Linked DNA regions of Rattus norvegicus. The protein of the gene in region 1 purifies or fractionates together with the protein of each later gene. This does not show direct contact. Links are inferred from orthologs where the notes say so. Each region holds a gene or a part of one and is shown in the gene's direction. Other genes may lie near its edges. The genes, in order: Zfyve27 and Vapa.

Region 1 (4,489 bases):
ATTTCAGGGCTGGAGAGATGGCTCAGTGGTTAAGAGCACTGACTGCTCTTCCAGAGGTCCTGAGTTCAAATCCCAGCAACCACATGGTGGCTCACAACCATCTGTAGTGAGATCTGATGCCCTCTTCTGGTCTGAAGACAGCTACAATGTACTTACAAATAAATAAATCTTAAAAAATTAAAAAAAAAAAAAAAGAGTAAAGATTTCAGAGCCTGTGGGACAATGACCAGCCTTAAGGAAGTGGGAAGAGTTGAGATTCCCCGTACAGCTGAGTCCTGACTGGCAGAGCAGGTGTGCCTGTTTCTCTGAAAAAGAGATGCTGGACGGATGTCAGGGAAGCTTTGGGGTGGTTCAGAGGAGTGGTTATTGTCGGTTGAGCGGCCTTCCCTGGCTGCTCACACCTGAGTCCTGCTAAGACAGTTGGTTTGCTTGCCTTTGGATGGAAGCAAGAAGCCGGGCAGGCAGGTGTGACAAGCAATTTGAGGAGTTGGCAGGAGTCCAGGGCCGTTGCAGGTAAAAACGGGGTTCAGTTGGCTGAGGCACTTGAAAGAGAACAAACAGCAGGATAGATGAAGCCAGTAGTTGCAGACTCATGTGGGCGGTGGTATGGCTGGGGTTACTGGCATCCAGTGATATATTTGGCTCAAATCCCAGTTCCAAGAGGTTTATGTGCTGTGACATTAAAGAAGTTACTTACCATGACTACAATTCCTCATCCGTGAAATGGTGATAACCCCAACAGGGTTGGTTATTGAAGGAGGAACAGATGAGATAATGTGAACACAAAGCTTACTGTACTGCCTGGCTGTTGGTTAATGCAAACCCATGGGAAGTGTGTTTTAAGGGACACCAGCTGGGTCACAAGATGTGAAGAAGAGTTAGGAACCAAGGAACCACCGGTCTGTCTCTGCTAGGCACCTGACATACAAGATGTGTTTTCTGCCTTCCCTAGCCTCTTTTTTATCCAGATTTTTATCCAGTTTTTATCCAGATTTTCTTTCTTTTTTATCCTTCTCCACCCCCACCCCTACCCTTTTTTGTTTTTGTTTTTGTTTTTGAGCCAGGAGCTCCCATAGCCAAGGCTGGCCTTGAACTAGCCTCCAGCCTCAGAAACTCAAAGGCTGTGGTTACAAGAAGTGCGTCACCACGCTAGGCTCTGTAACTGTCCTTGCTGTAATGTTCCGGAGCTAGGCTGGCTCCCAGGAATTAGGTCCTAGGTTTCCGGGTCATTAAAAGTGAGTCATCTCTTGTATGGCAGGGACGGAGTTAACCAGAAATTAGCCACAGAGGGGAAAAGTGCGCAGGCGCAGTATCGACGAGCTCGATCACCTGCGCTTGGGTGGGAGGGGCTAAACTCGGAGGCCCGACCCAAGGCGGGACGGGCGAGGTGACGTCACGGGCGCGCCACCGCAGAGTGAGTCGCGTCCCGGAAGCGACGGCGGTGGTGGGGCAGACTGTTCTCTGGTGGACTTGCGATTTCGGAGCGTCTGTGGGAGGTGGCGCGGCGTGGGGTGGGGCGGGCCTGAGGGGCCGCTCCCGGGCTTGGTGGCCCTTCTGTCCCCTTGGGCGCCCCTGCCCCTCCCATTCCTGGGACAGTGTCCGGGTAGGTGACGACCATCACGCCCCAGCCCCACTGTATTTATTTACAGAGCCTGGTGCTCCCGTCGGGAGGGGACCGCCACCTGCTGGCACAGCGATCTTAGGCGTGGCCTGCCTTGCGCCGCCTGGGAGGTGATGGTGGTCGAGGCCTCTGTCCGCATTGACCTGCTGAGCCTGTCTCGCGCTAGCCCGGGTTTGCTTTCTTCCTAGCACGTTCTATCGAGAGTTTGGGGTCCAGTGGACTCCTTTCCAAGTGATGAAAGGAGCCAGGGTTAAGAGCGTGACAAGAGTGTTGTTAGGAAAAATTCATGAACCTTTGGGAGCCCTGGTAAGGGTCACCCAGTGTACACTAGCGCGTTCATAAAGACGTCCCAGAGCAAGATGGTCCCCTAACCCTGACACCTGAAGGATGAGTAGGGGAAAAGAGAGGAGAAAGATATCACAGGACATCTTTTCTCTTGGGATTACCAATTACCTCCCTTCAACAATTAATGGCTTGTATGCTCTTGAAAAGTCTGTGAGGGAAAAGAGCGTTGGAGGGGCTCGTGAAGAACAGGCTTTATATCGAAGGTATCCCCTTCACTCTGCTGTTCTTCAGAAGGAACAAAGTTTCTTTCCGTGTGAAACGGGTATTGGTGCTTACCTCACATGGTTGATGCAAGGGGAAATGTGTTTGAAGACTGGACATGCATTGTGAGTGTGGGGAATTACGATTACAGAATGCAGTCTTCGGATCGGGACCTGAGTGGACCAGAGGCGAGCCCCAGCGTGATGCCTGAGGTTCTCTCTGAGTGTTCACCTGCCCCTACCAAGTCAACAGCGTTTGATCTTTTCAACCTGGTTCTGTCCTACAAGAGGCTGGAGATCTACCTGGAACCCCTGAAGGATGCAGGTGACGGTGTTCGATACTTGCTAAGGTACAGATTTCAGGGGTTGTTCTTCCTTTGGGCTCTCTTGTCTCCCTGGTCTTTAGCAGTTCTGGCCAGTTGGCAGTAGTCGGGCTGTCCTTTCTGCTCCAGTGATGACTAGTTCTGGTGAGACTAGTTGTCTGACCTCTAGACTTATTCAGAGCTAGTTGTGTTCTAGCTCTGTGCAGGAAAGGTGGGATCTGGGAACCACTTGGTCTTCCTCAGGACTCTGTGGTTGGATAAGCTCCTCTTAGGTACTGTCAGAAAGCCTTGGACATTGGCCTGGTATAGCTTAGAGCAGACTCTGGTCCGTCCCCCCACCCCCTTCTCTCCTAATATTAGCATAATTAATCTTAAAATCCTGGTTTTATTATTTTGTATGCATGTGGCATTGCGTGCAGGTCAGAGGGCAGCTTTTGGGAGTTGGTTCTCCTTCCATGGTGCATTCTAGGGATCAAACTCAGGCTTGGCAGCAAGCACTCTACTGGCTAAGCTATCTCACCGTCAAGTTATAATTTTAAACAAACCTCAACTACAAATACCTTTGAAAAAACTAGATGCCATTTTTATTTGTTATTTAGGATTATGGTTCTCAAATTTTTTCCTATTTTGCTTCATTTTATCCTCTGTAATTTTCTTCTAGGCTCCTTAACTTTTCCTTTTGTTGACGGTAGTCTGAAACTCGTAGTTCAGGCTGCTTGAAGACTTACAACAAATGTTCTGTTTCAGACTCACAAGTACCAGGACCAACTTGCTTAAAAAAATGTTTGGTGTTTGTTTGTTTTCTGAAACATGGTCTCATTGTGCATCCCTGGCTGTCCTGGAAGACACAGAGGTCTGACTGCCACTGTCTGCTGTGCTGTGATTAAGGGCACCACCATGCCTAGCCTGTGTTTTTTACATTAAAAATTATTTTCCTTAAGTGATTTATCTACGTTTTTAGATTTTACGTGTATGGCTTTATTATCTGTATATATTTCTGTGTACCATGTGTTTGTTTGGTGTCCTCAGAGACCAGGAGAGGTTGTCAGATCACCTGGAACTGGAGTTACATATGGTTTGACCTGCCGTGGGGGTGCTGGGAACTGAACCTGGGTCTTAACCAATGAATCACCTCTTCATCTCCTGGCTTTATTTATGTTAAAAAGTATTTTATCTGAGAATATGCCTATAATCCCAGAATTTAGGAGGTAGAGACAGGAGGATCAGATGTTCAAAAATCATCTTTCACTCCGTAGCAAGTTTGGGGCCAGCCTGAGCTATTTAACACCCCCTTCTCCCCAAAAAAGAACAGAACAGAAAGATAGCTTTAATTGCAAATAAATGGCTTTGCACTTCTGATTACTTCAGTTTATTTTTTTTAATGTATTTACTTATTTTATATATATGGATACACTGTAGCTGTCTTCAGACACATCAGAAGAGGGCATCAGATCTCATTACAGATGGTCATGAACCACCATGTGGTTACTGGGAATTGAACTCAGGACCTCTGGAAGAGCAGTCAGTGCTCTTAACCACTGAGCCATCTCTCCAGCCCCAGTTTATGTTTTTTAATAAAGGCATTTGATATCATCAAAGTCATGTTATACTTAGTTAAAAGTAATTCTTTGATATCTTTCTCTGGTCATTTCCCACTTTCCAATTTTTTCCAAGGATGTCACGGACACTTGTTTTGCATCTCCTGTCAGGTTCCTATCCAGCACTGTATTTTTTGTGGTTTTTATATCCTATAAGTCTTTTTCAAACTAAACCAGGCTCTTGTTTCATGTACTGGTTTTCTGAAGTGGCTGGACTCACTACCCTGGAGAATTTCCTTCTGAGAATTGTCTGGCTAGTTATATATAGCTCTTTAACTGGAAGTTAGACTAAAAACTGGATTTCATTCAAGCTAAAGACTTTCTTTTCAAAAGGAAATATTTGCCCTTAACGTGCATTACACCAAGAACCACATAAATTTTGTGTCCCAAGCAGAAGAATCG
Region 2 (4,267 bases), on another chromosome or scaffold:
CTTAAATGTGTAAGTTTTTTCATCTTTTTTTCTTTCAAACTTCATTTTTAGGTTAGGATACAAAGTAAGCATTCAAAGAAGGAAAACAAACTTTTTTTTGTGATCAATGTTTTATACCACAATTTTATATCCTATATACCCAGGGTGGCATAAAAATTTCTCAGGTGACGGGACGGAGAGTTGAAAAAGTTTAATTAGCTGTATTCTAGACTGCCCATTTTCGACATTTACTTTCCAGACAGTCTAGGATGCCTTTCCGTGGCAGAAGCATCAATACGTGCTTTGTTTCGCACGGAGCTTCCTAGAGATTTAAATTCAAGCAGTACCATAGGACACAATAAAGGTTTATTTTTACAGCACATCCATTTGTTTTGTTTGCTCTTCCCGTCCCTGGATACCCTGGCAATGAGCTGAATATCTGTCAGCAATTTGCTTGGCAATTTTTCTCATTTGGTATAGGCTCTCCTAAGTGATGCAGATAAAATTCGTCCCTAGCACGGCACGAGAACCAGGCAAACAGATTTGGAATGAGCCACACTGTAGATACAGCACGTGAATTCCACGCCGTAGGAGCAGACATTTGGTTTCTACCCTTGATTATTTGTGCCTGGCCTAGATTTCCCCTGGAACCCGTTTGCTTTTGCGCGAGGTGTGTTTCCCTTTGCTGGGCAGGAGGGAGATCCGGGAGGCAGCTTTGGAACGGCAGGGTTAGAACAGAGCGCGCGTCCGCAGAGGGCGGAAGGAATCCCGGGCAGACCAGACGGACACGCCCTGCCGCTTTCCCAAAGGGCCGTCTCTCCTGGGATGCCTGGCTCCCAGGCAGCCTGCAAAAACCCTTTTCTTTTTCCAATGCAGACGAGACAACCTCGGCGAGCCAAAAGCAGAGTCAGCGGCCCCACCCACTCGCCTCCAACGGACCCGGGTTGCCTTCCCGGTTCCCAGCAGCCCCCGCGGAGACGCCGCCCGCACGGGGCATGCTGGGAGTCGAGGTACCCGGCACTTCTTGACTGTCTTCCGTTCGGAATTCCACTTGGAACGCTGTGAGGTAGCATCGTAGTCGGCGCTACAGCCCCGCATTCGCAGCTCCAGGGCGCCAAGAACGACGCCCCTCGCCCGGCGCCGCGCACCCCGTCTCCCACAAACAGCCCTACTACGCCCCCTGCACGCTCTACAGAGATTGACAGCAGCGCGGCGCAGGGAGCTGCGGCCAAGTCGGAGGTGCGCAGGCGCACTAGCTCAGCGCCGAGCCCAGTTAGGCCCGGAGGGCGGGGCCAACACGAGGGCTCTGGGCCGCGGGGGCGCGCACGGAGACACGTAAGGCCGTCACGTGGGGAGCCGAGGATCGCAGTGCGCGTGGCCGCGGCGACTGGTGTGGGGTTGAGTCAGTTGTGACACCCGGAGCTGCTGACCCGACAGGCAGCCCTCGGGACCCGCGGCCCGGCAGCAGGCGCGGAGCTTCGGGAATCGTGAGCCTGGCCCCGTCCTAGAGCTCCGCGGAGCCGGCGCCGCCACCGTCCCCCGCCCCCGCCAGCGAACCGCCGCCGCGGGCGCGCCCCCGCTCTGCGCTGTCTCCTATGGCGTCCGCCTCCGGGGCCATGGCGAAGCACGAGCAGATCCTGGTCCTCGACCCTCCTTCAGACCTCAAATTCAAAGGTAGGCTGGCTGGGACGCGCCCGAGCGGGGCTGGGGCCGGCGGGCGGCGGCGGGGTGGACGGGCTGCGCTCCCCTCCCCCACGCCCGGACCGAACGTCGGAGCCGCGGCTCCGCTGCGTCCCTCCGCTCGGCGCCTCGGCGTCCGCCGCTGCCGGGCCGGGCTGCGGAGGGGAGGGGAGGGAGCCGGACGGACGCCGCGGAGGGCTCTGCCCGGAGCCGCCGCCATCTTGCGGCCCACGGGGGCGCCGCGGGAGCCCGCCCGCGCCTTGCCCGCCCGCCCGCATGGCGTCCTTGCCCCAGGGCGGCCGCGGCGCGGTCCAGGCTGTGCGAGCCGGAGGCTGGGAGCAAGAGCTCCGGGGTCTGCGGGCGCCAGCGGGCGACGTTCCGCGCCTTTGGGTAGGCACGGCCCGCGGGCGAGGCGCTCAAGACCGCGGGCTTCGCCCGGAGTCTTCCCTGTCAGGTGCCGGACTCTGTCAAGCCGGGAGACCCAGCAGTGTCTGGCTGGGACTGACCCCGAGTGTTGGCACGGCCCCAAGCGCGCGGCAGAAAGCTGTGCGTCAGCTGGGGCATGCATGGTCGTAGGTTAATGGGAGTGGGTCCCTTGGGTCACGTCGACTCGTCCTTAGGTACGGAGGACCCAGCCCTTGTGCTCCTAGTCCTTGAGTTCACACTGTCTTTTTACTGAAGACGACTCAGGGTCTGTGACCCTCTTACGTTTGCGGTTTCCCAGCATACCCGGAGAAAGCTGATAAGGTGCCACACAGCTCTGGAACTGTTGACTTTGGAGCACTGACTGTGATAGACAATCACTGGTTTGGTGATCCTTGTTCAGATCCGAGGCCGTTTGCCTTCTCAGTGTGTAGGAAACGAAAAGTTATACAGAACAGTTTACTGCATTTTAAGGAGCTAAAAAGAACACGTGCTTCCTATCTTTAAATGAAAAGTGCCCCCCTCCCCCTTTGGAAAGTTAATACCTTGCGTTTTAATTTCAGCAACTGGTGAAAACAATTTCCCTTAAGCGCATATCGATTCCAGTAGGAAAAGAAAAAGTAAACCCATTATAGTAGTGTAAAAGTGAGTCCACATGAAAATAGCTGAATTGTCCTTGTAGGAACAATTTAAAATAGTTCCAGATACTTAAGACTTTTATATTTTAAATAGTTTAGGACTTAAACATGTGGTATTCTGCTAGTAGCATGCCCTGCAGGCGTTTCAGTACATTCACAAGTTCCTCCGTACTAGACAAGAACTTGATTGTGATTTTAAGGCAGTTTTAATATGCTTGGAATTGGGTCGTGAACCACACTTATAATCCCGGCATTTTGGAAGTTCAGGAACCACCCAAAGTTTGAAATAAACCTGGACTACATGTGAGACACTTGACAGTGTCTCACCCTCCGGTATTTCGAGTGTATTTTGCTGCAGCAAATTTCTGGTTGCTTGATTTAAGTTTTTTTGGAGGGGAGTTGGGCGGAGTTTGCTGAGAAGTCCTCAGAGTATTTGTACTGTAGTAGCCATCATTAGTGGGAGCGATTTAATATAAATCTTGACGATATTCTGTGTGGTTTGCTTTCCCCCTTTTGACAGTGTAGAGCAAATTTTCCTTACTGCATAGCCATGTGTGAAAGGTATTTTATGAGGCAGGTTTTAAAAACCACCAGAAATTGTGCTGTATTCATGTAGATCACTCATTTTTGATATTAAATAATTACAACCGTGTTTATGCAACAGGCTCTGTGTTACCAAAAATCCCAATGCTGGTGGAAAAGGCATGTAAATGATACCGGGGCAGGAGCACGTCTGAAAGAAGCTCTTTTCTGTAGGAAACTCAAGGAAAAGGCTCTTGAAGTTGCCTGGGGAAAGTCATGCAAAGGGAGTGGTTGAGTAAATCGGAGTGAGATGAGATGCATAGACTCCAGTCGGTCAGACTTGTGGAAAGGTGGGAGAGATGGATATGATAGGGAGAGGTGCAGAGGGTTGAAGTGAGGTTTGCTGCTTTTCTCCTTAGTGTTACTTTGTCAGCCAGAGGTAACTTGGTACAGTGGAAGCCTCTGTATTTCAATGCACAGCTTTACACTAAGTAGGGTGATTTAGAATCCACTGTGCATCTTTTGGTTGACCATATCAAAAATTATTTAACTGATCTTTACATGTCTTTCATTTAAGTATAGGTTGTTTATACATTTCATTTTGCAAAATTACTTGATTGTGTGCAAGGTTTATTTGAATTATTTGGATTCAACAGTGGTTTCTTCAGGAGTGACTCAGCCATTCTGAGATTGACAGTTTTTCTTTAATATGAATAATGACTTGATAAGTGTTATAACTTTGTAGTTTACTTCTCATAACTAGTAATATATATATAAGTCTCTTGATTGTAGAATAAATTCTAAAGCAGACCTTTTAGAGCATAAAAAGATTCATTAAGAAAATTTTTGGTTGCTTAAATTCTAGCAATACTTTAACCAATAATTTAGATTTGAAATTGGATATTTCACAGAAAAAACTTTTTTGTTCCTAACATTTACTATATTATAAAATTTGTTTATTGTTTTGTGTTGCATTTTACTGTTCCTAGCTGTTGACAGTATTGAACTTTGAAGAAGAAAGTTTT

What was found.
Region 2: the proteins of Zfyve27 (region 1) and Vapa purify together in Homo sapiens (co-immunoprecipitation; 3 studies listed by BioGRID and IntAct, counting the BioPlex papers as one, with this or other methods). This does not show direct contact. The link is inferred for Rattus norvegicus from reciprocal best matches to the Homo sapiens genes ZFYVE27 and VAPA.

What each region holds. Positions count from the first base shown.
Region 1 is NC_086019.1:250,927,713-250,932,201, forward strand, and holds the start of Zfyve27 (protrudin), read left to right. Parts: upstream 1-1,418; 5' UTR 1,419-1,603; intron 1,604-2,318; 5' UTR 2,319-2,319; coding exon 2,320-2,516; intron 2,517-4,489. UniProt on the Homo sapiens protein: Key regulator of RAB11-dependent vesicular trafficking during neurite extension through polarized membrane transport. Promotes axonal elongation and contributes to the establishment of neuronal cell polarity.
Region 2 is NC_086027.1:112,651,808-112,656,074, reverse strand, and holds the start of Vapa (vesicle-associated membrane protein-associated protein A), read left to right. Parts: upstream 1-1,343; 5' UTR 1,344-1,574; coding exon 1,575-1,653; intron 1,654-1,852; exon of another isoform or gene 1,853-2,049; intron 2,050-4,231; exon of another isoform or gene 4,232-4,267. UniProt on the Homo sapiens protein: Endoplasmic reticulum (ER)-anchored protein that mediates the formation of contact sites between the ER and endosomes via interaction with FFAT motif-containing proteins such as STARD3 or WDR44.